Linked DNA regions of Solanum lycopersicum. The protein of the gene in region 1 binds, or shares a complex with, the protein of each later gene. Links are inferred from orthologs where the notes say so. Each region holds a gene or a part of one and is shown in the gene's direction. Other genes may lie near its edges.

Region 1 (7,656 bases):
CATCCTAGAAGTGGATTGAAAGGTGAACCACACATCAAAAATAAAATCAGTTTCTGGAAAAGATGCTATAGAAGTATAACTTTATTGAAGACTCGGAGTGGATTGGGATTTCAATATGATAGTTGATTATCCAAAACATTGGATTGACTTTATAAAGGTAGTTAATATATTTTTGTTTTTCAATATGGTACTTTCCTTATTAGTTACTTTCATATACAGTAGCATTTAGCCTCTCTTTAGATCCTTTTACAATTAATTAATATCATATTGTTCTATTTTTTTAAATATTCTAGATTGATCCACAAGCCAGGAAAATGAATGCTAAGAAATTGCCAATGTTTAAGGATTGGGAAGAAATCTTTGGTAAGGATAGAGCAACATGAGAGTTCGCTGAAGGGCCCCTAGAGCTACTGAAGAAATTCAAAAGAGTCAAGCTCCACAACATTCTAATGACATGAGTTTGGGATTTCCTATCGATGTTGATCTTGATGATGATGAAGAAGAAGAAGAAGAAGAAGAAAATGTTTACCATAGCTCTAAAGTTGGTACTAAAGAAGCTGAAAATGCCACTGGACAAGGTGGATTTGCTACAGTTGAAGATTTTACCGAACCTAGTTCATTTACTAGAGCTGAAAATGTCACTGGACCTAGCATATTTAATGAAGGAGAAAATGTTGCTGGTTCTGAAAATGAACATGTTGGATACCGAAAAAGTCATAAATAAGGTGAGTATTCAAAAAGATCATTTTCTAATGTTAACGAGAAAGAGAAAAGCAAGAAAAGGAAAAAATAGTAGAGGATGATAGTGAGACATTTCTTAAGGGTATGATGGAAGTTATGAAAAACTTTACTGAAAGTCAAGATAAAAGAATTAGTGCTTTGATTGAAAAGATGGGGGATCGTAATCGATCTAATGTTCGTGGTCAAGTTTATTCTATTCTTGAATCCCCTGTATTTGAGTTGTGCATCACAGAGCAACGTATAAAAGCTGCAATGATCCTCTGTAATGACGAAAAAAAGATGGAATTATTTTTACGTATAGGTGAACATGATCGTCCGACAATGATGTGGATGGCTGTCCATGATAAACTTTGAAGTACTGTGAACTTGTGATATAAGTGGCTACACTAGTTTAGTAATTTTTGCTTGAAATCACTTCAAAGTGTGACAACAGTCGCTTTTTTGGGCATCTCTAATTATTAATGTGCACATGAGCATGTTAAATCTTTTTGGGTAACTAAAGTTTTATCAAAATATTTCAACTTTTGTGTCAATGCTAAGCACAAATGTAATTATATAGTTGTTATTACAACTCTTCAAATTCTAGTGTAGTCATTTACTTTTGAGATTCTGAAATGCAATTATATAGCTGCTATGACAGTTTTCTAATCTGTCTTGTATTTCTGTGTCTAGTCTCTGTTTTTCATTGTTAATTTCTTTATGAGTTAATGAATGTGTGTGATAGAAGAGGTGAAGAAGTTCGTTTCTATTTGTTTGAACAGTGTGGCAGATGATTTAGGCGGAATATGGAAACTATAAATTTCATCTCATTTTGGAAGGTTTGATACTGCATCTGACCATAGAATCAATTTCGTATTTGCTATTTGGACACCTTATTTTTAATGATAAGTCCCATTGTGTCAGAGATAATGGTTTCATACTTTATGTCCCTCTAGCTTTGTTTTGGTTCACACAGAACTGGATATAAGATGTTATAACCCCGTGAAATACAAAGAACAGAATTCCAATCGAAGGCTCTACAACTACTTTGCAAGTCAAAATTTGGATATAACCTATTTCACCCTTCATTTTTTCAAAAGTCTAGTATCAGGCTTAATAAATCAATGGTTGCTGACTTTAAGCCATGTGCAGTGACTACTTAGAAGATTCATCATCAGCAATACGGTGATGAATAATTGGTGAAGATTCTCCACAAATAACATAACATTGAATCAATAAAACCACATTTACTTCATCAAAAAAAAAATCAATAGAACCACATTTGTCCAGATTCCGACAGTCCGTAGGTGGCATCGTGGTGCAGCTGCTGAAGGAAGATGGGGAAATCTAACCAAATGTGAGGTTACGGAGTGCGTGACGAACCGTCGTATTCATAACGATCCGTCCTGCTAGTTCGTCATGAAGGTCAGAGAAGTAGTCCAGTACCCAAATTCCAAGAGTTTAAGTGTTTTGGAACGGAGACCCTCGACGGACCGTTGTGCTTGTGACGATCCGTCATATCTGTCGTTGAGGATAATGAAGAGAGCAGCAGAAGAAATTGAACAAGTATGGGATGACGGAGTCCATGACGGTCCATCGTGACCACGACGATCCGTCGCGAGGTTCGTCGACCCAGCCGCGTTTTGACAGATTTCCAGCAAATAGAGTCCTTATGTAATTAGTTTTTTTTTTTATATAAATTGTTCGAAAAATCTCCTTTGTAAAGTTTAAGTGCAATGGTAATCGTAATCAAAAAGGAATTGTCACAAAAAGTTACCAGAAGACCATGCAGCCTTTCTCTTTTTCGTTTTTCCTTTTTAAGAAAAAGACAATGGATCATATACAAGAGTTTGATATATCAACAAATAAAAAAATATAAATAAGAGGACATTACTTCCTCTATTTGAGACGTATGGTGGCAAAATTGTGAAGATGTTTGACATCTTCTTCTTCTTGTTCTTTTTAAATCTTATTTTAATGTAGTAACAATTTTTTAATTTTATATTAGAAAAAGAAGAAGAATAGGAATAAATAATGTTTTAGCAAAGAAATCTTTTTTGATGTTTTAACAAAGAACCTTGTTGCAAAGAAAGTGTAAAAATAAATAAAGTGTAAAGGGTATTTTTGTAAACATACATTTTTTAAATAGAAATTATGCAAGATTTGTTTTTTCTAATACATCAAACCAAACAGTGTATAAAAAATAATAATTGCATAACTAATGCAAGCATTACTAATACACCCTATTTTGCATTATTCTTATACACTCTATCAAACGACCCCTAAGTGTATTAGATGGACATTATATATATATATATATATATATATATATATATATATATATATAACACCATTTTCTTATCGATTAAATAAAAAACGCGCTCATTAGATTGTCAAAATCAATTAGTTAAAAATTGATAGTGTATATCTTATTGATTTGATTATCTTCACAAATCGAATAATGATAAATCGAAACAAAAAGTAGGAAGTTAGGGTTATTTTAGTCTTTTGGGGATGTTTATATGAGGTTGATTGTCTTCTTCGCTCGTTTCACCCTAATCTGGAATTTTTGGGAATAAGGTCTCAATCATGTCTTCTTCAAAGCGAAATCACAAGGAAAAGATTGTTCGTCGCAACAAGTTTGTTTCTCTCTTTCATCTTCGATTATGTAAATCTCAATAGATCCTTCTTTAATTTGCTGAAAAATGGGGGATTTTTCTATTGTTTTTGTTACAGAGAAGAGAAGGTTGAAGAACCGGAGTTACCAAAGTACAGAGACAGAGCTAAAGAAAGGAGAGAAGATCAAAATCCTGATTATGAACTCACTGAATTTGGTGGTTTTCATGCTGTTGCTCCTCCCGGGAATATTGATCTCCTGTAAAAAAAAAAAAAACGAAACACCCATTTCTCTTTTTCTTCGTTTAATTTTGTTCTAACTTTCTTGTTTTGAACTTTTACAGCTCTGCTGATGCTCAGAAATTATCTATTGAGAAGAGCAAGTATCTTGGAGGTTCGTATAGTCTGTGGTTGTACAAGAATATTTTTTAGTTTCAGTTCAGCAGTTTTCTTGATATATGGCTTCAGCTAATCAATCCTTGTTTTGGCTGATTGTAAATTAGGTGATGTGGAACATACACATTTGGTTAAAGGGTTAGATTATGCTTTGCTTCACAAAGTGAGAAGTGAAATAGATAAGAAGCCAGAAACTGGAGATGAGGCGTTAGAAGGAAAAGCTAGGTAAGTACTAGGTTACTTTATTGCTTAGTTGTATGTATGACTCATTTACTTCAACCCCAGGAATAAGTAACTGACTCTCCAAGAGCCTGTTAGTAATTTTCAGCTAATAAAGTTGATCCATGTGTAGCTCCCATTGGATAAGACTGTAGCTTTAGATAGGGAGTTCTTTTGTAGATGCCCCTTTATATGTTCTTCCATAGATTACCCTGATTTAGGGACACTCTGCTAACATCTTTTTGTGTATATGCAAAGTAATGAGCATATTTAGTGAATTGTTCTTTTGAACACCATGTCTAAGAAGCAGTGCTGCTGGAAACTGTTCGATTAACTATTCTATTTATCCCTTTTGCTAATAGAGGTGTAAAGGAAGATCATCAATTGTCATTCCGTACTGCAACTGCCAAGGTGCATTAACTCTTTCAATTGATTTCGTCTCAAATATTTCTAGTTGTTGCTTGGTGTAGTTATGTTTCAATAGAGTGACTAGTAAGTTTGGGGTTTCAGTCAGTATACCAATGGATAATCAAGCCTCAGACTGTTATAAAGACCAACGAAATGTTTCTTCCTGGACGGATGGCTTTTATTTTTAATATGGTATGTTTCCCTTTTATACTTCCTCTGCTCTTATGTGTTGTGTATGCTAGGTTCTACTTGCCTGAAAAGGAATTATTTCACAGACCATTAGTTGAGTCCTCTTATAGTGCGCTTAGACTTGAGATGTAATAGTAAACAAAATTTTGTACTTGTGATAGGTAGCTGAGAAGCTTCTATTTCTATATTGGATCATACTTTTTTTTTTTGGGCAAAACTGTAGTTAACTGTTGATGTCACGCTAGAGTTTAGCTTGTATGGCGGGGGTGAATAGTCTTTTCCTTCTGAAGGCCATTCTTTTTCTTGGAGGAAGGTGGAAAGGGTGTTGTCGGAAATTAGATGCTAGAATCGTTGAAGTTGATTTATTTTACTACTAAAATGTTTGGTGATCAGATGTGTCATATGGAATATGGATAGTGAAGAAGATGTGAAGATTTTGTTCACTTGCGGTTACTGTGTGTATGTTTTCTTTCACGGTCTCTCTTTTTCTTCACTTATGGTTGATGTGTATATTGCAGGATAGTGGATACTCCAATGATATTCCTACAACTCTACACAGAAGCAAAGCTGACTGTCCAGTCCTCGAGGTATTTCCCTTTTCCATACTGCATTACTGTCAGGCAATTTCTTCCTGAATTTTCCATCTGAATGGGTTATCTCATCTATATTTTTCAGGAAATGGTTACAGTCAGTGTTGATGGTTCTGTTCTAGACCGAATAGCTAAAATCATGTCCTATCTCCGTCTTGGATCATCAGGAAAAGTTCTCAAAAAGAAGAAGAAGGAAAAAGATAGCAAAGGTGCTTAGCGTTCGTGCCTTCTAAACCTTACTGTATTTTCTGAAAGTAATTAGAGTCACAATGTGATGTAGATTCTTATATATCCAGTTTGTTTTATGGGAACCTTTTCTCTAATTTCCGACTGGTGTTGTTGCATCCTTGGTAGGCCTATTAATATTATTGCTTACGAAAGTGAGTTTGGGCCTGGTTTCCTATAAAGAAGTACAATAGAATGTTTTGTAGCCGGGATAGAATGTGGGTTATTCTTCTTTGAAACCGGGGCACAGGGTGTAATTGAGTGTGAAGGTAGTTGATAACTAGATATAGTATGATTCTGTATTTCCATGGAGACTAAAAAAGAGCATTTTGGTTCTCTGGAGTCCTTATTATGTGTTTCCAACACTAAGTATACCTTGCTTCTTTTTCCTTTTTTCTGGGCTTTTGGATCTTCTTCTGTCACCTGTACATTAATGAAGAGCTGGGGGAGGGGGTCCCTTTTGCCCTTTTCTTGTTCTTTTGTTGGTGGTGAGTTATCTCTTCTCTTCATTGATAAGGAGCTGCACTTCTATATCCTTGTTCTGTGTTCTGACACAAGTTTTCAATATTGTACAGGGAAGACAGTTATATCCAATGGTTATGACGAAGTATTGAAGTCGGATGCATCAAAGAGCCAAATTGATAAAGAAACTGTGCATCCATCTGCACAACTTCCTAAAAAGAACCATTCAGAAAGAAGAGAGGTTCAGGGACCTGTTGTTGCTAGACCTGAAGAAGAAGATATCTTCATAGGGGAAGGCGTTGACTACTCCGTTCCTGCTGGAGATATGGGTCAAAGCCCTGTATCGGAGGACATGGAAGAATCTCCTCGAAACAAAGAGAGAACCTCATATTTCAGTGAACCTGCCTATGGCCCAGTACCTCCATCTGAGCCTTCTCATGATTGGCAATACACGGTGAGTCAGTTTTGAGTTGTAAGGCATTAGATCATTCCTGTTTAAAATGCTTAACAATATTTTATGACAAAATCTGCCTAGATTCTTTTTCCTACATTTATACGAAGAAAGGAAGAAATTGGATGCCCTCCATCGTATTTGTCGACTTTACTTTATTTACTCCCTTAATTAGATTTTACTATGTGTTGCAACTATTACTCATCTTTTGATTGTTGAATATGTTTGATCTGTCCAGAATGGATATGATGCAGCGCAAGCACAAGCGGTAGCTGGTGTTTACCAACCAGAGTGGCAAGATTATCAGTATCCTGAACAGGTGGCTTATCCTGAGCAATATCTCCAGCAGAATTATGATATGCAAGCTGATGTTGACGGTCTTCAGGATCCACAGTTTATGACTCAAGAAGAAAAGGATAGAGGCCTAGGGTCAGTGTTCAAGAGGGATGATCAGAGGCTTCTGCAATTGAGAGAGAGAGATGCCAGAGAGAAGGATCCTAACTTTATTTCTGAAAGCTATTCGGAGTGCTATCCTGGTTACCAAGAGTACAATCGTGAGGTTGTTGACAGTGATGATGAAGCTGATTTGTCAAAAATGGACATGGGTGGACGCGTAAGTGATACTCTGTTCTTGCTGAAGATTATGCCATTTCTTAGTTCACCCCTTCCCCCGTACTTTTGAAACCTACAAAATGTTGGTCCCTGTAAAGGAAACTTCAATTGCCTCACATAACTGAAAATAATTACATTTTTTAAAATTGTACGAAGATACAACTCTAATTTTTCTTTGATGTTGTGATGCATTGTAGGCAAAGGGAAGGCTTCATCGTTGGGACTTTGAGACAGAAGAGGAGTGGGCGACATACAATGAGCAGAAGGAAGCAATGCCGAAAGCTGCATTCCAGTTTGGAGTGAAGATGCAGGATGGTAGGAAGACGAGGAAACAAAACAAAGACCAGAAGCTTACGAATGAGCTGCATAAGATAAACAAAATACTCACCAGAAAGAAGATGGAGAAAGACAAAGGTGAAGCACTTGAAGACGGTGAAATACAACCTGGAAAGAAGCAGCGTGTATGAACAAACAGACAGATAAAACTTTGATCTTTTTGTTTTTTTAGATCTTCCTCTACATTTTACTGTTCAGAATATCTTGAATTTGAATTAGTACTATGTCTTGATTTAGTGTTCAGAATATCGTGTCTTGATTTAGTGTTCAGAATATCGTGCTAGTATAAACACGTATCGCTTTATTTATTTTAAATCTGAAATATAAATGTTATTTTATAAAATACTATAACATATATGGAAATTTTTTATGATGATTGAAGTGGATTCTAATTATACAAGTTAATTTTTGTAAAATATAAGGGGTTGTTTG
Region 2 (7,637 bases), on another chromosome or scaffold:
AAAAATTAAATGGGAGAGAGAATTAACAATTTTGAAAAGATAAATATGAGAGAGAATAATTTTTTTTAAAAAAAAGATATATAGAATTAATTGAAAAAGAGAGATAAAATAGGAAGAAAATTGGGACACATAAATTTTTTAAAATAATGACATTTTTGACATTATTGCTAATATTTTATAAAGTATGGATATTTTTACTAAATATGTTATTTATTTTGACTAGTTTACTAATTTTTCCTAAAAAAAAACAAATAAGACTACATGAATAATGAACTGATAATTGGGCTAAGTTTGATTAGTATAGTGAGTATTGAGTAGTAAACTAATAATTTAACTAAGTTTGGTTAGCAAGATGATCTAATTATTATTGTTTTTTTTTTGTTTTTGTTTAATCGATTCTGAGTAGAGATGTGTGTAGAAGATTTTGGTTAGTAAGTGTTTAATAGTACACTAATTTGCTTCTGAGGTGTTTAGCTTGTATTAGTAATGATGGTATTAATTGTGCTATTATTAATTACGTTGAAATCATTCTTATACATAATTATTCAATCTAGTTGTGTTTTTAAAAAACATACTTACATAAGTTAATTCGCAAATATAGTGAATATATGTGGAAAATTTTATTAGTTTAAGACCTAATTATGTGTATTTTCGTGAGTTTTTAAAATTGTTATTTGTGCTAAATTTCAATATTCAAATCATGTAATTTGGCGCATTTAAATATACGTATTTCGGATAATGAGATCAATTTTTTATGTAATTTGTTTTAGATACATTCTATCCAACTAGATGTACATATAGCTAGGATACATTAATTCTCTCATTCTTCCTTTTCTATCTCGCTTGACTCTCTCCTCTCTCGCTCGCCCTTCTTACTCGTCACTCTTTTCATGTATCCGTATTTTATAGTGAATGTTATTTATACTTTGATATAAAAGTATTAATTGCTGTGATCCTATATAATTATTTTAAACTTTAGAAAAAAAATAGTAAGTATGATAAGAATGTTTGTATATATTTTTTTTATTCAATCGTTAATCCCATGATTTGTCACATAGTTGTACAAGACATAATAAAATAAATGGATTATTGGGTAGTGTATATAAGAATAAAGTTGAATAAAGTGCATTAGTAGTGGTAACATATATTACTAACGTTGATATTAGTTATGACTAAGACCATTTACTAATATATTGTTTATTTTGATGTACTAAAAATAATATGAATCGCATGATTTCTAAAAGTAATTATTTGGTTACACAAATACCGTCAATAATACAATGAAAAGAATGTGTAAAAAATTTTGAGAGACAATTATATATTTAACCATGCTAGTACATTCATCATAAATTCTTGCGTAACTGACACAATTCATTATGTACTCTGTCTGTCCAACGATAGTTGTGTACTATTGACTTGGCACACCTATAAAGAAACTATAAATAGAAAGACAATTTTACTATACCACCCTTTGAATATAACAATGTCTTGAAAAAATGTTATAGGAAAATAATTACAATTGATAATAAGGATAACTTAAAAACTATATGTAAAATGATTCAAGGATTATATAAAGTGGACAAGTATCGCGACATCTATTTTTAGTACACTGGACAAGATTGAAGGAAGAAATTATTAATTATGCATAACATATTACTAAATAAAGTACACAAAAAGTGAAAATTATACCCAAACAAGATATTTAATATACACAAAGCTAATTCATGCATTATTTTTATAATACATCCTATCAAACAACGTGTGTATTGGTCGATTCAATTCAATTTTATGTATTATCAATTTGATTTTATCGATTTTAGATATGCTAAAACCAACTTCGTTTTACGATTTATCAGTTTTGATCCTTAACGGCTGAGTATTCGATTTAACCAATAAAAAATGCTTGTAAAACAAATATGACTTCTTTAACAATAATGTAACTTGTTAAATGCTCATAAAATATAAACAATAACAACTAACATGAAAAGATTATACAAGTGTAATACAAAGAGAAGTTAAGAGGAAAGAAATTTACTTTAGATTTTGACGTTTTGTATAATGTGAAGTTGTCCATTCAAAATCACTCTCAAGAGTAAATAGAATGCAAAATGACAAAGATAGTAACTATTCTCTTGTCCTAATTATTTGTCCACGTTTTATTTTATAGCTATTCCTAATTACTTATCCAGTTTGACAAATCAAGAATGAACATTTTTTTTTATCTATACCTCAATGAAATGACTAATTAATTTGAAAAGTGTAATTTTTTTTTATCCACTTCATAATTAATAGGGGTAAAATGATAAATTCATTACGTCATGAATTATTTTCTTAATATGTGTGTCATTTTTAAACTGGACAACTAAATATTGACCGAGAGAGTACTAACTAGTGATGCATTGATATTAATATTTAATATTTTATGTACGATAAAATAGTAAATTACTGTAGTCTTATGAGTTATTAATTTATCAAATAATCCAATATTCAAAAATCAAAATTAATCCGATAAATCAATATTTTTTTTTATTATACCATTAGAAAACTGTCAATCTAATAAATAACACAATAATAACCAATCAATAATATATTTTTTAATTTTAATTTATCGATCGATTTGATTTTTGCACAGAGAAAACTGAGATTCCAAATGGGAACTTGTGTAAATAAATCAAAGCTGAAGGGTTAAAAAGAGCTAAAATAAAAATCAAGGGAACAGATCCTACTCTGTTGGGTTTTATAACCAGAAAAAAGCCCTAAAATTAAGAACTCTCTGGAAGAAGTGCAGCACAGCACCAGGAGAGAGAACCCGACAAGAACCGGAGAAGAAGTTGAACATCAATTTCATCTGAATTTCGCCGAGCCCTAATTGAAATTCCAGGTAATATTTAGAAGATTTTTTTCTCACAGCTCTGTTCTAAGATAAGGGCACATTTGTTAATTTCTAAGAAGGGTCGAGGGTGGAAGAAACCCTAGTTACGCATCTGTAAAAATCTTACCGAATTTAGCTATTTCTGTATTTTCTGGATGTTCTGTGTTGCGAATTGATCGTTTTCTGTTTGTGGCAGAAATGGGTTCATTTCGTAATCCCAGGGTTTGTTTTAGCCTGGGTGTTGCTTCTCATTGTTCGTTGGCTTTTGCTAGAAAAGATCGAACTTTTATGGGTCATATTTGTGATGTTTCTTGTGTTACATAACAGTGTGATAGTTTTTTTTTTATCAGTGAAATTCTTACTTCAATAGCGTTTTTCCCTTCAGAGAGCTGCAACCATCATATCTGGAAGAAAATACTAGCAATAGTGGAATAAAAAGATGAATTTCTAATCGTGTAATAAGAAAATTCGGTATTCTTGGTATGGCAGAGAATATTTTATGGAATAGTTTTTTTACTCATTGAATCGTTCTCCAATGTTTATTTCCTCAATGGTTGAAAATTCACCACCAAAAGGGTGAAAACAACTTACGTCATTTTCCATTACGAATATTCTGAATCTCACTCTGTATCACTTGATTCATCCAACACATAAGGTTCGTTGTCAACTTTAATATACAAATATCTCAGCAAAATACCATCCTCCATCTTTTATGATTGCCGGGGTGGAGCCACATTACAGTTGACGGGTTTGGTAGGTTTGGCCCACATCATGTACTTTATATTCAAATTTTCTTTTAATATGTATGCATTATTTATCTAGCCTTGGTGGACAGAGTTACCGGTACCTGTTACTTGTTGCTGGTGGGGGTGGCAGTTATCCGTGGAATTAGTCGAGGTGCGAGAAAGCTGGCCAGGACACCATGTTCATCAAAAAGAAAATAAATTTATCCCGATTCCATTCTCTTCATTCTCAAAATAAATAAATAATTTATCTAGAACCCTTTTAGAAGATGCGGATGCCTTTTGTAAAATTCAGAATCTATAAATTCAATCCTAGCGCGTTTAATGATCGCCATATGATCCTGTTTTTAATCCAACCATATATTGAAAAACTATTTGGACGATGATCTGCCAAAGTAAATTCTTTTTTGCTGAAAATATGCTGCTTCATATCCAATTCGCATCTTTGTAGTCTCCACAGTTCAAAGTTCAAACAATGTTTTACTGACCATTGGTAACCTAAAAATCTTTTTCTTTTTGAGAATTGGTGACTTAGAGATCTTATCGAATCTTAGGTTAAGGGAAATAACATCAGTTGCACTAAACTGGTTTTATGTTAAACTTAAACAGGAAAGGTATATATTGCATGCCTTGTAGGATAATTTCTCAGTGATCTTTAAAATAATTAAGAAAAGGGAAAATGCATTAGTATGTCGCGATCTCACCTCATCTTATGACATAAATGCTTTCTTTATGATAGATTTCAAGCGCTTGGAACAAAAATGAGCTTTGGAATCATACATAGGGATGTATTTGGGGGAGTGGGACAAGTCAGGGTGGAGTATTTGGGTTTTATGTATAGTTGGAGGTTCTTCCTCACTCTCAGAAGAGCTATCATCTGCAAAAATTTTGAGTGGATGAGGAGATCAAATATTAGTTCAAATAATTTTTGCTTGTGGAGCATCTTGGAGCATATGAGCAATGGAGCTTGTGGAGCATTAGCTTAACTTGGGATATTTCTCTTGGTTTCATAATTTTTCTGTTTGAATCTATAATTTTGGAGCATCATGGAGCATTTGAGCAATGGAGCTTGTGGAGTACAGCTCAATTGAAGGATTGCTCTCTTGGTTTGCTTCAGAATTTTTCTGCTCGATTCTGTTATCATCAAGTCAAATACAGAATGATATAAATTTATCCATAATTGTTTAATTATTTCTCTTCAGTGTTTAGTGGAATCATGAAAATTGTTTATAAGTTACATCTGTTTGCAGTTTTCTGTGAATCCTCCCTTCATTGCTGAGAATGAGTGGCCGCTTTTCACGCTCAATCTACGTTGGCAACCTACCAGCAGATATAAAGGAACTGGAAGTTGAAGATCTGTTCTACAAGGTCTGTCACATTCACTTATTTAAACACTTAGCTGCAAAGGCTTATTTTCTTGTGGAGAAGTTAGTTATTATCAATCGTAATTATCTCCTAGGGCTCTGGATTCAACCTTCAATGCATAAGTTATACTTGTAAACAACAAAAAAACAACAGCCTCGCATCATTATAAAAAAAAAAACAAACAGCCTCACCCGAGATTATATTGCAGATGAATGCATTCCTAGATATGCTTGTTCCCTGAGTTTCATTACAATGCCATCTGTATAATGGATTTTTTTGATTTGCCTCTTATATGTGAAATTTTAGAACAAGAAAGCCTAAGTGTAGTTTCATAAGAGAATCTGTTGCAGTACTAGTATCAATATTAGGTTGTGGTTGAAAACAAAGTTTGATGGTGAGGGAGGCTTCTTCTCTGGTATCTTGCACTGCATGCTCCTTGCCTCTTATTTTTCCTATTTTAGATTCGGTCTTTCTTCCATACTTGCTACTCTAGGCTTTAGGCAGTGGTGCTCAATACCACTAGTATTCTGTTTACCCGATTGAGGAGAGTAAACAGTTGGGAGGCATCGATTTGGAAGCATTCAGCCTTGAAATGTAGAGTTGGTTTAGCATACATTCTTGCAGACACTATATACTGAGATTCCTTTTAAAAGAAACACTGTATCCTAAGGTTTGTTGTAAAAGAAACACTGTATCCTAAGCTTAAAAAGTGCTTACTGTTTATAAATTCTCTCCTGTATTGCAGTATGGTCGTATATTGGACATTGAGTTGAAGATTCCACCTCGCCCTCCTTGCTACTGTTTTGTGGAGGTATATTTATTTAGCATATTTACATGTATATAGTTTTCTGTAGTTTGAAGTTTGACCTTCTGCTGTTGGTTGCTTTTTTTTTTGCCTTTCTTATTGTCAACTGCTGCTTCTGTGTGCTGATTTATCTCTAATTTCCCTTCTCCGTATTCTTTAGTTTGAAAGTTCTCGAGATGCTGAAGATGCCATCAGGGGTAGGGATGGCTACAACTTTGATGGCTGTAGGCTGAGGGTAAGAACAATTTCCATCTTGATTCTCTCATATTCATAGATACACAGATCTATGTAGGACGTATGAGCTTCCATGTGGTTGACATTTTAGATGCATGATATAGGTTGAGCTTGCTCATGGAGGAAGAGGGCCATCATCTTCAAGTGATCGCAGAGGCAGTTATGGCAGCGGTGGCGGTGGAGGTGGAGGGCGCCATGGCATTTCTCGGCATTCTGATTACCGAGGTTCCACTATAACTTATTTGAATGTCTTGTGAAGTTCTTTGTCTTGATTGCTGTAGATGTAATTGTCCCTGATCATATAGATGTCTCTTGACTTTTTCTTGTCATCTATATACAGTTATTATTCGAGGTCTTCCATCTTCTGCTTCTTGGCAAGATTTGAAGGTAAGTGAAGTGGGCAGGATATCTCCCTATCTTGGTTTGTATCTGTAGCAATTGCAGTAACCTGGTGGAAAATATGTCAGGATCATATGCGGAAAGCTGGTGATGTGTGCTTTGCTGAGGTTTCTCGTGACAGTGAAGGTATGACCTAGTCTTACATCTTGAAGACATATCTAATAGGATCCTTTTACTTGTGAATTTTAAACAATACTCTAGAATACTGGAATCGTGGTGAAAAAACTGCATGTATGTTAAGATCAGAAAATTTCCCAAGAATTTAAGTGCAACTAGAGTGTGGTGTTTTTATCAAGGAGGGATGGAGGACAACTAATTATACTTGCAATTTAAGAAAACAAAGTGCTACAGAGAGACCAGAATTGATTATGTGAATAGAAGAATTGGAAAATATAAATCAGTGCTCAGAGTAAGAATTCCACCATTTGAAGACCATAGTAAATTTCTAATTCAAATGCATATTAGCTCTAATTTCTTCAGATTTAGTGTGGAGTTCTCTTAATGTTAAATTTTGATTTCTTATTCCTAATTACTATGTTATTCATTCATAAAATGGTTCTTTAATGATTAATATATCACTTTGCCAACTCTAGTAGTCTTTCCCTCTTTGGGACAGTGCACGGCTGTAATAAGGTGTACATCTTAGCACATTGGCGCTTCTTAGCAAAGCTCTGAGACGGTTAGGTTGAGACCATGCTTCAATTCGCTTGTCTTTATTGTGCCTTGAGCAAACGTTTGAGAAAAGCTGGAGTTCTGTTCTTGTGCTAACTCTGTGATTATGTCTGTAATTCTAAATTTTCTTGTCCATATCAGGAACCTTTGGCTTGGTGGACTACACAAATTATGAAGACATGAAATATGCTGTAAGTTTCTTATCTGCCTCATCATCTAATGGGTTTTAAACTCAATATTGCTATCTTCTTTCCATTGAGGAGTTCGACCCTATATCATGATGGAGTTTACTGAATTTTTGAGTTCCTTGGTTCATTAACCATTGGAAGGATGGTTATTTGTCGTTATTTTTATTAATATCCTCTGCAAGTAATTCTTGTGTTTTGCTAGTTCCATTATTCATGAACGTTTAATCTGCAACTCCCTTGATGGTGGTTGTTTTTTATTTCATTTATCCCTTTGGAGAAGGACCAAGCTTGTGGTTTAACATGTTTTCTTTTTGTTCAGATAAGAAAACTTGATGATACTGAGTTCAGGAATCCTTGGA
Region 3 (7,723 bases), on another chromosome or scaffold:
AATTTACATATATTAAGTATGTTAAAAAATAGTTGCAACAAGCAGAAATCTATTTGGACCATAATGACATACATTTTTTTCCAGAAACGAAGTTTGCATAAGAGAAGAGGAAGTACAATTCGAGTGGTTACCTCCTGTGAACTGGGATCCAAAGTGGTCACAGTGGCACTTCCTTGATTCATCATCCTCTCATTAACATCCTGCTTAACCAAACATTTCAGTATTCAGATATCTATAACAAAATCACCACAACACACAAGAAAAAAGATAGTCATAAGTTGAATTGCAGCCTAATGGTTACAACTCCACCTTCTTACATTCATAGGTGGTTCAAATCCCACAAAAGGATCCTTTTCTACACTTCTATCCCAACTATTTAAGTGCCCATCCCTTACTCCAGCAAATTTTATGCAAGAAAGAATTTAACCAGGACTAAAACTGCAGCCTAATCATTACATCTCCACCTATCTATGTCACAGCTGCAGGATTCCAAACCTACAAAAGTGGTTTCTACGTTTCTATCCCAACTATTTAAGGGCTCACCCCTCACTCAAAAATACTTCAAAAAAACAAAAGAGAACTAGAATTGCAGCATATTATTGCAACTCCACCTACCCATCATTACATGAGCAGGTTCCAATCCTATTTGCAAGACCACCTTCAACAACAATAACAACTATGCCTCAGTACAAAACAAGTTGAGGTCCAGTATGCTTTGGATCCTAACTATTACATGTGCAGGTTCCAATCCCACAAATAATGTACTCCTTAAATATCATCTTGACTATTTGCAAGTCAACCTTCAACAACAATTTACGACTCGGTACCAAACAAGTTGAAGTCATTATCTAACAACTAAAGAGCTCATATATCATCCAGCATATACTGATACAACAAATCAGTTAAACAGCAAATATCCTCCTTCTACCCATATCATAAGTGGTCTTCATCCCACTTGCACAAAATCCCCAACACCCTTAACACATCCAATAAGCATTTACCACCACAAACACTTACAAAATGTCAAATTACGGATTTGTCCATTCACCATGTTTATAGGTCCAAAAAAATGGGGAAAAAAACTAGCTAGACATGGAACTACAGCTGCAACTTTGCCTACATCAATCATACTTTCTAATCTCACAAAAAAAGGGGCTTTTTCTAATAAATTTGAGCAACAAAAAAGAAACTAACCAAAATCTGAACAAATTGAACAGCTTGAGCCTTCAAGGAACAGAGAAACAATCAACCTCGAACAAAGCAGCACCCTTATATGTATTACCAAAGCAAATTGAGACGAAAAAAAACAAAAAAAGATATGGAAAAAATTGGGAAAAAAAAAACAGAGAACGATTAGCAACGAAGAACGATTACAGATATCGATTTGGTAAGGAACTACAGTATAATATATGATTCGAAGCACAGAATTATTCAATGTTAAAGAAGAGATTTTTGATTTATGAAACTAACGTCGGTAGAGAAAATGAAATACGGAGATTTGTGTGTGTATATATATGGCGTAACTTGATTTTCAGTCGAAAAAAAATTCAACCCGATTGACTTATTCGGGTCGTAATTTGTGGGGGGGGAGGGGGGGTCGTGTTTGAGTTTTTTTTTTTTCGCATTTTAGATGTTATAATATATGATTGAGTCGAGAGAGGATGTATTCGAAATAATATTTTTATCATAAGTGGATAAGTAATCTTTATTTATATTATAATATATATCCTTCAAGTCTCAATTGTGTGACTGAATATTAATATGATGTTGTTGTGTAATATATGGTTAATTTATTGATTTCGTAAATCTGAATTATGAATTTTTAACATTTTTGATTTATTATGTTTTCTAATTCAATTTTTTTGAGATAAAATGTATGGTTTTAGAATAGATTATATATAACGTTATTTATACGAAAGACACTTAATCAATACAACGATTAAAAATTCTCATTCATATTATGCAATTTTCGCTTAGAAGAATAATTGAATATCACAAAAATAAATGAGATGAGAAAAATGAACATTGACAAAAGCTTTTAAATAGCTACAATAGTACCAAATATAATAAATACAAATCGATATACATGAATAAAGTGAAGGAAGGCGCACATATAATTTGCAGATATATTCTTTTTTTTTTTAATTGTTTTAGTGTCACGTGTTAATTCATGCGTTTTATAAAAGAGATTGTCAATCACGTGTATAGTGAGAAGCTATCCTTAATAAATGTTTGACGTTCAATTAGTCAGATTCTTAGTTTATATATATAAACAAAATAGTACTATAATTTTCTATTGTCTGAGTTTGAGTGAGAAATACATCAAGATTTTCGTGTGTTTACTCATAATGCTTTTGTTTTTCGTATAATGGATCTTGGCTCGCACTTTATGGAATTTCCACTGGGAAAAGAATTCAAACATTTCTTATGTACCTGTGATGGAAAACGTTTGAACTCTATCTCTTTTCTTTTCATTCTATTTTGCTTTCGTTCTCTTTCTTATGAATTGTTATCAGAAACGGTAGACTGCGCAGAAAAGGATTCAGGTGGAAAAGCGTATACCTTCTCTATATCCAACAACAACTAAATAAACGATAAACTTGTAATTTCTTAATTTCGATATAGATTAGATGAATACATCAAAATCGAATATTCGTGCATTCCGATTTCCGCCCGAGAGAAGAAAAAAGAGGAGGAGGTTTCACATTTGGGAGAGAACTCAAATGGGCTTAGAGTTAGAAGCCCACTCCATGAAAACAACATAACAATAAGCCCATAGCTGTTGAGGCCCAAACTTTAGTATATAAATCAGAGAGAGACCACTGTGCTATACTCTTTTGAACGAATTGGATCTAGGGTTCTTACATTTCTGTGCCTTTTTCAATTTTCAGGTAAGCGATTTGCGATTCAAAACCCTTTTTTCTCATATATTTTTGATAAAAATAGCTTTCTTCATCATAATATATGTGCCTGTGCATAATTCATCTAGAAATTGGTATTAATTCCGAGTAATTTGGATGAAATTTTGTGTTTTTTTGACTCGGAATATTCCGTAAAGAGGTGTTTTTTTTGTTACTAGTTTTGTTTTATGTTATATAGATATGGCGTTTGTGCTAAATTCATTTGAAAAAATGTAATTGAGCTGTTTTTATTATATACGTGCTAATTGGGTAGTTTCTTTTGGTATGATGTGCATTTGTAATATGTATGTGCTTTTTGACTTTGAAAATTCATTCAAGATGCCTTTTTTGGTTTTAGTTTTGTTTGATGTATATTGAGCTGGCATTTTGTGCTAAAGTGATTGGAAAATAGTAAAGGAGTTATTTTTATGTTCAAGAGATCATATAATATGGGAAAGGGGCTAATTTGGTAGTTACTTTCAGTGAAGATGTAGTGGTTTGATGAGATTTTGTATTATATGTGTTTTTTGTAGTTTCGTTTGATGTTTTATTGAGCTGGCATTTGTGTTAAATTCATTGGAAAAAAGTAATACAGCTATTTTTAATGATTAAGAGATCATATAATTTGGGAAAGGAGCTAATTGGGTAGTTTCATCCGGGAAGATGCGCTATCATGAAATTTTGTATTATATGTTCCTTTTTGACTCGGATAGTTCATTCGTTAGGCATTTTTTTAGTTCTGATTTCGCTTGATATTTTATTGAGCTTTCATTTGTGCTGAATTCATTTGGAAAAAAAAGTATATGAGCTAAAAACAAATTTATGTTAAGAGATAGTATAATTAGGAGAGGAGCTAATTGGGTAGTTTGTTTCAGAGAAGATGCCGCGGTATGATGACAGGTATGGTGGCACACGCCTATATGTTGGACATTTGTCTTCCCGGACGCGATCTCGAGACTTGGAGGACGTCTTTAGCAGATATGGGAGGTAATTTTTTAACCATTCATTACTTTTATGCAGTGATCGGAAAGTTATTGAAATTTGAGTAATTGAATATTGAGATTCCAAGAGGATAAAGATTGAGCTTTTAGTTGTTTAATTTTGTTAGTGGAATGAAATACGCCTAAGTAGAGTAGAATAGATATAAAAGATTCATATGGTTGATCTCAACTTGTCTGGTATTAGGTGTTGATTGATTGATTGCTGTACTTGGTGATTATTTTATTGTGATCATTTTTTAGAAATGATGTTGCTTCTAGTAGTTCACAGTCTTTGTTCTTTGGGGGTGGAGATGAGACACACTAGTCGTTACAGTGACCTTTGTTTTATTTTTTTAAAATTTGTAGAAAATGTGAGAGCAACACCCCGTGTCTTGGTGTTTTTAACTCGAATAATGTTTATGAAGGTTTCTATGTTTTTGCCCAATCCGGAGGTTTGTGGTGGGAGGTTGCCCTTGATGAATTGGTTCCCATTCTTGCGGAGTGTGGCGATTCTTTCTATAATGTTATTGCGTATTTTTTTGATGGAAATGGCACAATCCAAAAAGTGGTGTTTAGTTCATCTTTGAGGGGCGAAGTATCAACCCTTTGGTTCTTATGACTTGATGGCCTTACTGTTTCTGGAACCCATTTACGCAGAGTACGTGATGTGGATATGAAGCGTGACTATGCTTTTGTGGTACGCCTTTCTTCTTCTTCTTTTTTTCCTTTTCTGTTCACTTCTTCATTAATGATATTTCTTAGGGTTGTAGGGTGATCATCTAATCCTTGTTTCATATATTTGTGATTTAAGCTTCTTTCTTTTCTTCATATACTGCTAAATCTAGGAGTTTAGTGATCCTCGAGATGCCGATGATGCAAGATACGGCCTAAATGGGCGAGATGTTGATGGAAGTCGTGTTATCGTGGAGTTCGCCAAAGGGGTGAGTAAAAGTTTGGATTTGATATGTGTTCGTAACTGCAATATGCATAGTATCTTTATGTTTTATTTTTGCAACTCTAGCAAATTACACTCACATGGACATGTGCATTTTGAATATCAATGCAAAAAAAGAAAAACCAAAAAGAATTTCAGGCTTTATGCCCAATGAGTGGGAAAATATGGTGGAACTCGATTATTTCCGAGATGATGCTTCAGTTCTCAATATAAGTATATTACTCTACAATTGGCATGTCACAGAGGGGAGAAAGAAGATCTTGGTTTATCACTTTCGTTGAAGTAGTTAAGTTGCTTCAAGGATTTGTTTTCTTGGTATTTTGAGGAGTTATGCACGCCTTAATCTATCTAATGCTTCAGATTGGTTAAACAAAAAGCTGTCCTTTTTATGTTGGAGTTTACTTGCATCGCAGGTGCCTCGTGGTCCAGGTGGATCTCGAGAGTTTGGTGGCAGAGGTCCTCCTCCAGGTACTGGTCGTTGCTTTAATTGTGGAATTGATGGACATTGGGCTCGAGATTGTAAAGCTGGGGACTGGAAGAACAAGTGTTACCGCTGTGGAGACCGAGGTCATATAGAAAGGAACTGTCAGAATAGCCCCAAGAAATTGAAGTATTTTCCTAGTTGCCACCTTATTTCACCCTGTGTATTTTTTGATGTTCTAGTATACTTTAATGATTAAAGGTTATTATTTGTTTTTGAATGACAGACGTGACCGAAGTTATTCCCGCTCACCATCTCCTCGGCGTGGAAGAAGCCGCAGCCGCAGCCGCAGTTACAGCAGAGGTCGTAGCTACAGGTCTCCCCCTTTGCTCCTTTTTGGAATGCGCTCCATTTAGCTTCATTGAGAACTTCTTATGTGTTGAGATTCTGAATTGGCATTGCCGCTCATGGTTACAAGGACATATCCAGTGAAACCCCACAAAGTGGGGTTGGGGAGGGTAGAGTGTACACAGTCCTTAACATTGTCAATCATGGCTGTGAAGTTGAAATAATACTGTGGATAAGTAATTGAATTTGTCTTTTCATAGATGTATTATGTGGATAACATATGAAAGCTTGTATTGTTAGAGCTAGAAAGTGTCATTTTAAGTGCTAACAGATTCTGTTTATCTCAACTAACTGGCCTTTGTGGGATTAAAACATACATATTTGTTCCCGTCACTTAATCTATCTATACAAATAAACAAATTATTAACATATATTGTGTTTGATTTCTTTGCAGCCGATCCAGGTCTCCTGTGAAGAGGGACCGTAGCATTGAGCGTGAAGAAAAGAGATCAAGGAGTCCTCGCCATCATAGGTCATCACCACCTCCATCAAAGGGAAGGAAGCACAGCCTTTCACCTGATGAAAGAAGTCCAGTAGAGAGAGGTACACCATCACCAAGGGATGATAGGGCAACCAATGGTTCTGACCGCAGCAGGAGCCCTAAAGATGATGTTAGAATGGATGAACGCGGAGATATTAGCCCTGTTGAAGAAAATGGCCGTAGTCGCAGCAATAGCCCCATCCATAGGGAGGACAGAAGCCCAGTGGAAGACGGTAGCCCAACAGGTGACTATGAAAATCATGGTTCTCCAAGGGGTTCTCCAAGGGGCAGTGAGTCACCCTAAAATGTGCATATGATACATTGTGGCAAGTGAATGTTTGACTCACAACTATGCATATGATACTGTCAGTGTGGCAAGTGAATGTTTGACTCACAATTATCTCATCCTTGCACTTTGATTTTATAGTACTTTTTCCCTATATTCGGAAACCATGTAATTGATTTTTCTTAGAATGACCGGAATTTGAAACTGCCTTGCACATGCTGTGTTCTATTTATGAGATTACATTAAAAACTTGCTTGGTGTTATGTGTTTCAGCTTGAGTTTGGTTGGTATCCTCGGAACTCTATTTGAAAGTGATGTAACTATGTATGTCACTTCCTACATACTGTACCAAAGCATTCACCAATTGTGAAGTTGAAACGCAGCAACTGTCGTGAATTTGAGATGCATCTGGCAGATCAATTGGATATACGGTAAGACTTGTAGTTGTGTGTGTTATTTGTGTTGCTGTCTTTTGATATCTTTTGATCTGGTGTGGGGAGTGGCAGATACCAGAATGATTACAATAGACTGGTATATACAGGGGTGTGTATGTTATTTGTGCAGCTGGCTTTTGGTCTTTCGATCTGGTGTCGTGAGTGACAGATACCAGATCGCATGATTACAATGACTTCTGGTAATAATATGTTAACCAGTCTGGGGAAAAATCATGTCGAAATTCATGACATAGTACTCGTAAATTTGTTTTGAATATCAGTGTGGATGTTGTGTTGTGAATATCAAAGAACTCTGAGAGAAGCTGTTAGTATTTGGAATTTGGTTATGTATAGTCAAATATGTGCTAATACAATTTGTAAACCATAATCCTTGAATAGAACTGTTTGTTGTTATAGGAGAAGCTGCTTCATAGGGGCAAGGCAACTAACTAGCTGTCCTTGCTCGGAAGCTTGGATTTTCACTAAGGAGATTCTCATCAATATATAAAGAAAGTGATACGAAGAAACTAATATAGGATCGAGAGGGGGGATTTGTACTATGAAAGTGTCACTAAATATGTCAAAAGTTCAATTCGAACCCTAATTACTAAAACTTGATGTGGCTATTCTAGAATTTAGAATTCATAAAAATCCTAACGATATGTCATTACAAATGTAGGTACAACTATTCAAGGAAGTAAACACCAGTACATAATTTTTGCTATATTATTGATGTATTATGAAGTTATTGTATAAATTATATATACAATGTAAAGCTATTCAATACATATAAGTTGCTCAACATGTAGATCACTAAAACAAAATTTAGTACTAATAGTAGTAAATAATCAACACACA
Region 4 (7,884 bases), on another chromosome or scaffold:
CGAGAATTTCAGGCAGAGGTTGATATCATTAGCAGAGTTCATCATCGCCACCTTGTTTCTCTTGTTGGATATTGCATTGCTGATAGACAACGAATGTTGGTCTATGAGTATGTTCCTAACAAAACCTTGGAATTCCATCTTCATGGTACTTCCCCTGTCACTGAATACTCCCTTTATGATACATTATTGAAATACTTCCGTAAGAGTTTATATGCACTAGCTAGTATAAAGAATTATTACACAATCAGGTCGCCTTAAATATAACTACAGGTAATTATCATAAAAAGTGGGATTAGTAACCTATAGGATAAGACAAATTATGTCTTACTGCAAGTGAGGAAATCCACCAAGTAATAACATAAAAATTCTTCAATATATATGAGTTGGAACTGTTGAAAATGCTCTCCATGCTAATAGTTAAAACTAAATTTGTTTGCAGGGAAGGGACATCGTGTTATGGATTGGGGAACAAGGCTTAAAATTGCATTGGGATCAGCCAAAGGATTAGCTTACCTCCATGAAGATTGTATACAATTTTTTCTATTCACAATGCTCCCCTTTTCTTTTACTCTTTGTTTCTCTTTCTCAACCTTGTTTCTACACACAGGCCATCCTAAAATTATCCACCGTGATATAAAGGCTGCAAACATTCTACTTGAGGACAACTTTGAAGCTAAGGTAAAATTATTGTAGGTCATTATTGTCTCGTGAATTTGTTTTTATGTATTTTGCACATGTCAGGAAACTTATGATGTTGGTTTTCAACATAAATCTCCACTTTTATTAGAAGCGTTGCTTAATAATCATGATAACCTTGGGAATTACAAGAGTGTTTCTGGTTTCTCAGGTTGCAGATTTTGGATTGGCTAAGCTTTCTTCTGACAACCTTACTCATGTCTCCACCCGTGTTATGGGAACTTTCGGGTGAGTCGAGCATAGCATTTTTCTACTTTTTGAGAGGTAAAAGAAATACTAGGTGAAGGTTAGTGCTTATCTTTAGAAGTGACATACAATCTTTTATCTTTAAATGTTTCCAGACTTACTGAAAGATCTTAATTGGTCGAAATCCAATCATGTACCATGTTATCAATCTAAAAGGCCTAGAAATTTGATAATTCTGCAAAATTTAGTATGCCCTGAAAATCTGTTTGATGTTTTTGTTTTGGGGTTCTAAAGGTCTCTAATTTTCAGAGACTTTTCATATGCTCAGTCATAGTAGCTTAGGCAAGAGATATCCACAGTGAAGGCAAAAAATAAACCACTGTTTAACATACATGAAAAATGTTTTAGAGGTCATTTTAACTTTTTCTGACCTCTTGGTTAAAGTAATAAATGCGGATGCTTGATTCTGGAAGAAATTAGGCATCAGTAATGAAAAAGCCGTCTTATTTTTATACTACAGGTACATGGCTCCTGAATATGCATCAAGTGGCAAGCTAACAGACAGATCAGATGTCTTTTCATTTGGAATTGTGCTTTTGGAACTCATAACTGGGAAGCGACCTATTGATCCTAGCAATATTATGGAAGACAGTTTAGTAGAATGGGTTCGCTCTTGATCTCAAGTTCTCATATTATCATTCATTGCATCAACAATACCTAGATTTTAACATGTATTTAGACACCAATCTTTGTATATGCATACCCTTATTAGCCTAATATATGAATATGAACAGGCTAGGCCGCTTCTTAAAACTGCCTTGGAAGAGGGAAAATATGACGAATTGGTAGGTGCTCCTTTTGAAGGAAACAATGTTCCAAAAGAGCTGCATCGGCTAGTAGTCTGTGCTGCTGCTAGCACTCGTTATTCTGCTAAAAGACGTCCAAAGATGACTCAGGTATGTCATCTTCTAGATTAGAGCTATCAAACTAGACCCTCCTTTGTTAAGCCGGTTGGTACATGGTTTTGTGGTTTACCTTTACCTATTACTTTGAACTTATATCTTATACCACTGCAATTAGACTCATGGTATATGTTCCTTTCTCTTCTACTTTCTGGAGACAATTAGTGATGCACATTCTAATGAACAGATTATGCGAGCTTTGGATGGCGATTCATCTTTGGAGGACATGAGCGATGGTGCAAAGACTGATACCTACGATACTAGTGCATACAACGCTGACATGATCAAGTTTAGGGAAATGATATCAAACCAAGAATTCAATAGCAGTGAATATGGAGGGACAAGTGACTATGGACTCAACCCTTCCTCCTCGAGCGGTGATTCCAGTGAGCTTGATCATCATCAAAGAAGTAGAGGATGAATAGCTAACTAGCTGAAAACTTGAAGCTTGACAGGATGAATAGCTAACACTTTGACTTCTTCCCTAGAACTGATACAATTAATGGATCTACTCTTTCGTGATTTTTGTCTAGTAAATATACAAAATCAAAGTCATAGCAGCAAAATATGCTTATGTATATATTACATTACATTATATATAGCAGAGTATCATTTTTGTCTCAATATTCTGCACATTATTGTACATTTTGACTATATATATAAATTTTTATACAATATAATATTTGATTGTACATACCGTGGCAGTGGAACTCGATTGGCGTACAAGACATTTAACAACTTTCGTTAATAAAATCCACTTTTGACCCATCAGTTTGATGGAAAGAATAGTTTTAAGTCGAAATATAATTTAAAAATAAATATGATCTTTTTCGAATAGTTTAGGATATATTTATCCCTTTTCATAAAATAAATAAAAATATCAAAATATATTGAACTGAAGGGTTAACAAATAAAAACAGTTTCGTACTAAAACTTGTCAAGAATTAAATGACATTCGTTTGAACACATATTACTTAATATGGATTAGAGAAAATATTAATTACATAAATTATGTCTTTCTTTTGAGTTGATTTATCCTTAAAATTTAAAAGTCTCATTGACTTTATAAAATTTCGTATTTTAAGACATAGAAAAGTATGTATTTATCATTGTTCATAGTTATTGATTTATTCATTCTAATTCATTTCTTTGCTTTTTTTTTCTAGTTAATTTTAAAAGAAAATTTATCTTACTTTTGGATAATTTTTTTCGTTATTTACATAACATATTTAAAAGATTAAATGATATTTCGTATTTTTAGTTAAAAAAAAATATTTCTAAAATTTGGTATAAATGAACTCGCCAGTGCTGGAGTACGATCTCTGATGGAGTCTTTATATAAGCCGCTTCTCTGCGCCGGATAAACCCTTGTTTCTATTTTGTTCTTCGTGCCGCCTCAGCTATCTTCTCCATCTCTCCAATCGTCCGATTAACGTAACTCCACTTCTTGTGGCGGCGATTCGCATCTAGCAAAAACCCTAGTCGGCTTCAATGGGAGACTTCAACGATGCCTTCATGCGGAACAACCCTAACGTTCAGGCCCGTGCAAAGGCCCAGAATCGCGCTAATGTCATGCAACTCAAGCTGGTAAGTTATAACCCTCGATCTGTTGTCTTTGTTGTTTACTGGCTTAGATTGTTAAACTAGGCCTTTTTTTTGTGTTAGTGTTTTTTGATTGTTTAGGTTTTCCGTAGGTTCTTTCTTGATGAGTATTAGGTTATAAATTTAGATGATTTTATGTCCTGTTGCTACAATTTGTTTGGTCTTTCGTTATTCAGCAAAGGAAAAATTAGAGTAGAAGTGAAGTACCGATATAGACTATACCGACTTGTTGGGATTATGGTCTAGTCAGTTGTTGTTGGTAAACTCATATTAAGTCCCTCTCTTAATTTGGTTGGGGATTCTCAATGTCGATTTATTTATAATCTTAGGTACCTATAATCTTTCCCAAAATATTAATTGTATGATACTGGGGGAAACAGACCTGGATGGAGTGGAATTGATGTGGATTCATATGTCAACCCCCAAGTTGTTGGTTTCTTGATGTCTTGGTGATTTGTTATTATGGGTAGTGAGTAAGGTTTTGTGGTTTAATTCTTGTTTCGTGATATTTTAGAACTCGTCCAGTTCCAACTCAAGGTTCATTATTTTTGTTTTTTGTGAAATGAGATTCGAAATTGTCTAAGATGCATATTTGTTGTGCTTTTATGACATCTAAATATACTGTGTGATTAGATAGTTGGCTTAGAATAACAGTAGAACTATGTTGTCAGGCTGCTGCACTATTGGATATCCTTTTCTTTGTTCTTCACTGGTGCTACAAGTTTGTGTACTAACTTTGTTAATATACTTAATATATGCAGATTGGTCAAAGTCATCCAACTGGGTTGACTGCTAATCTTCTGAAGTTGTTTGAGCCCCGACCACCTTTGGAGTACAAACCACCCCCTGAGAAGAGAAAATGCCCTTCATATACTGGTTAACATTCTTCATGGATTGAGTCATTTCTTGTTCCATCAGTCATCTCGTATAATTCTTAGATATATTCTCATTTCTCTTTTTAGGGATGGCACAATTTGTTAGTAACTTCGCTCAACCTGGTGATCCAGAATATGCTCCACCAATCCCTGAGGTTGAAACCCCGGTAAGACTTCATTTTATGTACTGCAAATTTTTTTTCTGATCTTTTTGGGTAAGCCGATATATTTAATTGAGGGTTGCATATTCATTCTTCTCCCTTCTTCTTCTCTTAACAGTGATATTAATTTCATGAATATGATGTTTGCTTGATTATTTATGTGTGCTCTGCCATTTCATGTGCTGCTGAATTGTTTTCTATTTCGAGATGAATGAATCTTGAATGTCCAGCAAATGACACTAAAACATTGTGTTGTTGTTGAATTATTGGTAATATCATGTCTTGTTCTTTATCTTTTTCTTTAGGGTACTTCTTTAGTTCTGTGTTTTATGTTTGTCTTCACTGAATAATGCAAAGATGTCCTGTGTAATGGGAAGGTGCTATTATCATCTCTCCAAGTTGTAGAGCTGTTGTAACCATTGGATCTCATCTTAGAAGATACTGTTGTCTCCCCAAGTCAGTGGAGCTGAAACTGTTGTAAATTGGTAGTGCATGTAGTTAGAGTAGTGCATTATAATTACTATTTAACTTGAGATGTGGGTTATCTAATCCAACTCATTTGGGATTGAGACAGTTATATCCTTTGGTATCCAACCGGTTCTGAAGAGTTACTTTTTCCAGAAAAGTATAATAAGATGTAACATAAGCTGTGCAATTACATACTATGGTGAATCTGTGTATATTTTTTCTTTATGCTCATAGATTGCTTTTGGTACTGCATGCAGACTGAACGAAGAGCTAGGATCCACAAGATACGGCTGGAGGAGGGTGCTAAAAAGGCTGCTGAGGAGCTTGAAAAATGTATCAAGTGCTTAAATTTTCTGAATATTTGAGAGACATTTATGGGAAAAATGGAATAATTTTTTATTTCTGCTGGACAGATGATCCTAGCAGCGACCCAAATGCTACCGGGGATCCATACAAGACACTATTTGTTGCAAGACTTGTGAGTGAAGATCTTTTTAGATCATTTTTGCTGCTGTGAATATAATCTTTTTCTTTTTTTTTGACAATGGAATATCTCCTTAATTTTGTTGATTGTCTTTTACATGTTTTTCAGAATTATGAGACAACAGAAAGCAGAGTCAAACGCGAATTTGAGGCTTATGGTCCAATCAAGCGGGTAGGTATTATAGAGCATCCCTTTTGGGGCTCAGGTTACTGGCTTTTGGTTGGTAAGATGTGTACTTTTATGGTGGCATGGTACTTCCTCCGTTTCTCAAATTGATATTTCCACAACTTATTATTTCTTAAAGCATAGAACATCTTACGATTTTAGCAGCTTCTCTTTATGTACTTCATAAAAAAAATTAGCATCTTATTAAAACAGATTTTGATAACCAAAATTTAAAGAACTGTGGGGTCGATACACTTTCTGAAATGAGGGTGGATTACCTAAAAGGAAGTGTCACTCATTACTCTTCTAAGTTTCAAACTTCCACTTAAAGGTGCATGCGATTCACATTCTGTGTATAAACTTATAGCATGGATTGCACTTCAGTATTTTGATAAGAACTTATTGAATTCGGCAGTTGTCTGTTAAATAATAAACTGATTAGCTCTCGACTTTCTTAGTGCTTCAGATCATCAAAAAACACGTTTTATCCGGAGAACTTTTTTTTCAATTGTATCTTTGGGTGCATCTCTTCAGGCTGTAGTTAAGAAATGGATTGTTTTTTAAACTGCTAGCACTCTTCCCTGGTGTTCGAGGTGCATACTGCTCTCTGAAAATGGGTGATTTTTTTTGTGAAGTTACTAGTTTTTCTTTGCTTTGTAAAATAAAGGTCAGATTGCCAGTATGCCCTTCCTCAGGTAACAGTACTCCAATTATTGAGTATCAGTTTGATGCCTTTATCCTCTTATCCTGGTTTGGATATCATTAGTTTCAAGTACTATTCATTCTGGTATTCCTTTAGTTTCTAGAACCACAAAGGTAAAGATGTTCAACTCCTAGGTATTTTCCTGGTAAGGGTAAAACTTAATTATCTGGTAGCTTTATGTTTTTTTGAGTTGCCAAACATAACCATTCAATTTCCAAGTCCGAGCTACATTACATGAAACAAAGCTGAACACTTAGATGAGCAGAGCAATGATGCAATATATCTTTGGCCTCTTATTCCAAGCAACACCGGAGATTGATACTTGCCTTTACTTGGTAAAAAAACTGTTGGGAGTATCGACCTTTTCTCTTCTTTACTCTTCTTACATCCCATCTATGCTGCTAAGATTTTACTTTTGGATTCAAAGGCTATCAAAAAAGTTTCAAGCATTTCAGGAGACACCTGGTATTTGACTATACTTCTATAATAATTTATTTTATTTTAAAATGTTCCCTGGTAAGGGGAGTTAGAATATATTGCAAACATAAGGCCACAGTTCTTGTGCAACTCTAGCAGTGATGGTGAAGCATCTCGCCTGGGAGCTCTTTGATTCAAAGGTGAGCACGGCTAATTAGGCATAGTGCCTGCCGTGCCATTAGGAGCTTACTATACCTAATCGCGTTGAGTAGATAAAAAACATTAACTTTTTTGACCGCTGCATCGAAAATGATTATAATGTTATTAGTAGTGTCAATTCCATAAATTGTTTGAGTTTCAGGTTCGCTTGGTTATGGACAAGACAAACAATAAACCCAGGGGTTATGCTTTCATTGAGTATGTGCATACACGGGATATGAAAGGTTTCTCTAAACTCCTGTTCTTCTGTCTTTTCGAAGTCTCACTTCCATCTCTAATTCTTTTGGATATAATTCAGCTGCGTATAAACAAGCTGATGGAAAGAAGATTGATAATAGAAGAGTGCTGGTTGATGTAGAACGTGGTAGAACAGTCCCCAATTGGCGTCCCCGCAGACTTGGTGGTGGACTTGGAACAACAAGAGTTGGAAATGAAGATGCTACTAGGTATTGCATGAACTTGTCATATGTGCATTGCATAGTGCTATAACGGACATTGATCTCAGCTCTTCTTTAGTGCAATAATGGTTCCTGTAGTGTCTATGGAGTAAGAACGCTATTTTGATAGATACAGCAAGACATGTTTGCTTGTAGTTGACATGAACTGCTTTTTTGAATTTCAACTCATCTTTTGGGTTATATGGATGCTTCAGTTTGTGTTTTTTTCCCTATAAAGGACTTGCTGCTCTGAGCATTTATGTATGACGTCTTGCTTAGAAGTTGAATTTATTATTGTTTGGCATTCAGTTTGATAATTACTCGTAAAATGTTCTTAAAAGTAGTTTTTTTTTTGTGTAGTTGCCCTCTTGGTATGATTGTAAAAGTGAAAAGCTTAAATTCTTGGATGGAATTTTAATTATTGAAGACTCTAATACTCCTTTTATTTTTCAGAGAGGTGGTTCAGCCTGGAAGGGCAGCATCTCGCTCTGAGGAGCCAAGAGCACGAG

The links. Proteins that work in one complex are often made in the same cells at the same time.
Region 2: suppressor of mec-8 and unc-52 protein homolog 2 (region 1) and serine/arginine-rich splicing factor SR34A share a complex: the UniProt entries of both Arabidopsis thaliana proteins name them as parts of the spliceosome. The link is inferred for Solanum lycopersicum from reciprocal best matches to the Arabidopsis thaliana genes SMU2 and SR34a.
Region 3: suppressor of mec-8 and unc-52 protein homolog 2 (region 1) and serine/arginine-rich splicing factor RS2Z32 share a complex: the UniProt entries of both Arabidopsis thaliana proteins name them as parts of the spliceosome. The link is inferred for Solanum lycopersicum from reciprocal best matches to the Arabidopsis thaliana genes SMU2 and RS2Z32.
Region 4: suppressor of mec-8 and unc-52 protein homolog 2 (region 1) and U1 small nuclear ribonucleoprotein 70 kDa share a complex: the UniProt entries of both Arabidopsis thaliana proteins name them as parts of the spliceosome. The link is inferred for Solanum lycopersicum from reciprocal best matches to the Arabidopsis thaliana genes SMU2 and U1-70K.

The regions. Positions count from the first base shown.
Region 1 is NC_090806.1:9,683,595-9,691,250, forward strand, and holds suppressor of mec-8 and unc-52 protein homolog 2, read left to right. Parts: upstream 1-3,093; 5' UTR 3,094-3,309; coding exon 3,310-3,359; intron 3,360-3,456; coding exon 3,457-3,597; intron 3,598-3,680; coding exon 3,681-3,730; intron 3,731-3,839; coding exon 3,840-3,957; intron 3,958-4,313; coding exon 4,314-4,362; intron 4,363-4,461; coding exon 4,462-4,551; intron 4,552-5,066; coding exon 5,067-5,135; intron 5,136-5,223; coding exon 5,224-5,347; intron 5,348-5,938; coding exon 5,939-6,279; intron 6,280-6,514; coding exon 6,515-6,889; intron 6,890-7,085; coding exon 7,086-7,355; 3' UTR 7,356-7,567; downstream 7,568-7,656. UniProt on the Arabidopsis thaliana protein: Auxiliary spliceosomal protein involved in splicing of specific pre-mRNAs that affect multiple aspects of development.
Region 2 is NC_090802.1:49,073,670-49,081,306, reverse strand, and holds the start of serine/arginine-rich splicing factor SR34A, read left to right. Parts: upstream 1-2,697; 5' UTR 2,698-2,881; intron 2,882-4,354; 5' UTR 4,355-4,721; intron 4,722-4,865; 5' UTR 4,866-4,896; coding exon 4,897-4,983; intron 4,984-5,725; coding exon 5,726-5,791; intron 5,792-5,945; coding exon 5,946-6,020; intron 6,021-6,123; coding exon 6,124-6,244; intron 6,245-6,359; coding exon 6,360-6,406; intron 6,407-6,486; coding exon 6,487-6,544; intron 6,545-7,231; coding exon 7,232-7,281; intron 7,282-7,597; coding exon 7,598-7,637. UniProt on the Arabidopsis thaliana protein: Probably involved in intron recognition and spliceosome assembly.
Region 3 is NC_090804.1:67,963,242-67,970,964, forward strand, and holds serine/arginine-rich splicing factor RS2Z32, read left to right. Parts: upstream 1-2,783; 5' UTR 2,784-2,891; intron 2,892-3,775; 5' UTR 3,776-3,780; coding exon 3,781-3,887; intron 3,888-4,305; exon of another isoform or gene 4,306-4,537; coding exon 4,538-4,577; intron 4,578-4,725; coding exon 4,726-4,821; intron 4,822-5,248; coding exon 5,249-5,445; intron 5,446-5,542; coding exon 5,543-5,632; intron 5,633-6,058; coding exon 6,059-6,449; 3' UTR 6,450-6,680; downstream 6,681-7,723. Other genes in the region: SAC3 family protein A, read right to left, coding at 132-185. UniProt on the Arabidopsis thaliana protein: Probably involved in intron recognition and spliceosome assembly.
Region 4 is NC_090801.1:64,632,604-64,640,487, reverse strand, and holds the start of U1 small nuclear ribonucleoprotein 70 kDa, read left to right. Parts: upstream 1-2,944; 5' UTR 2,945-3,335; coding exon 3,336-3,431; intron 3,432-4,207; coding exon 4,208-4,322; intron 4,323-4,408; coding exon 4,409-4,488; intron 4,489-5,207; coding exon 5,208-5,283; intron 5,284-5,363; coding exon 5,364-5,428; intron 5,429-5,542; coding exon 5,543-5,605; intron 5,606-7,080; coding exon 7,081-7,162; intron 7,163-7,236; coding exon 7,237-7,384; intron 7,385-7,828; coding exon 7,829-7,884. Other genes in the region: proline-rich receptor-like protein kinase PERK5, read left to right, coding at 1-145, 440-678, 848-924, 1,403-1,547, 1,677-1,838, 2,032-2,265. UniProt on the Arabidopsis thaliana protein: Mediates the splicing of pre-mRNA by binding to the loop I region of U1-snRNA.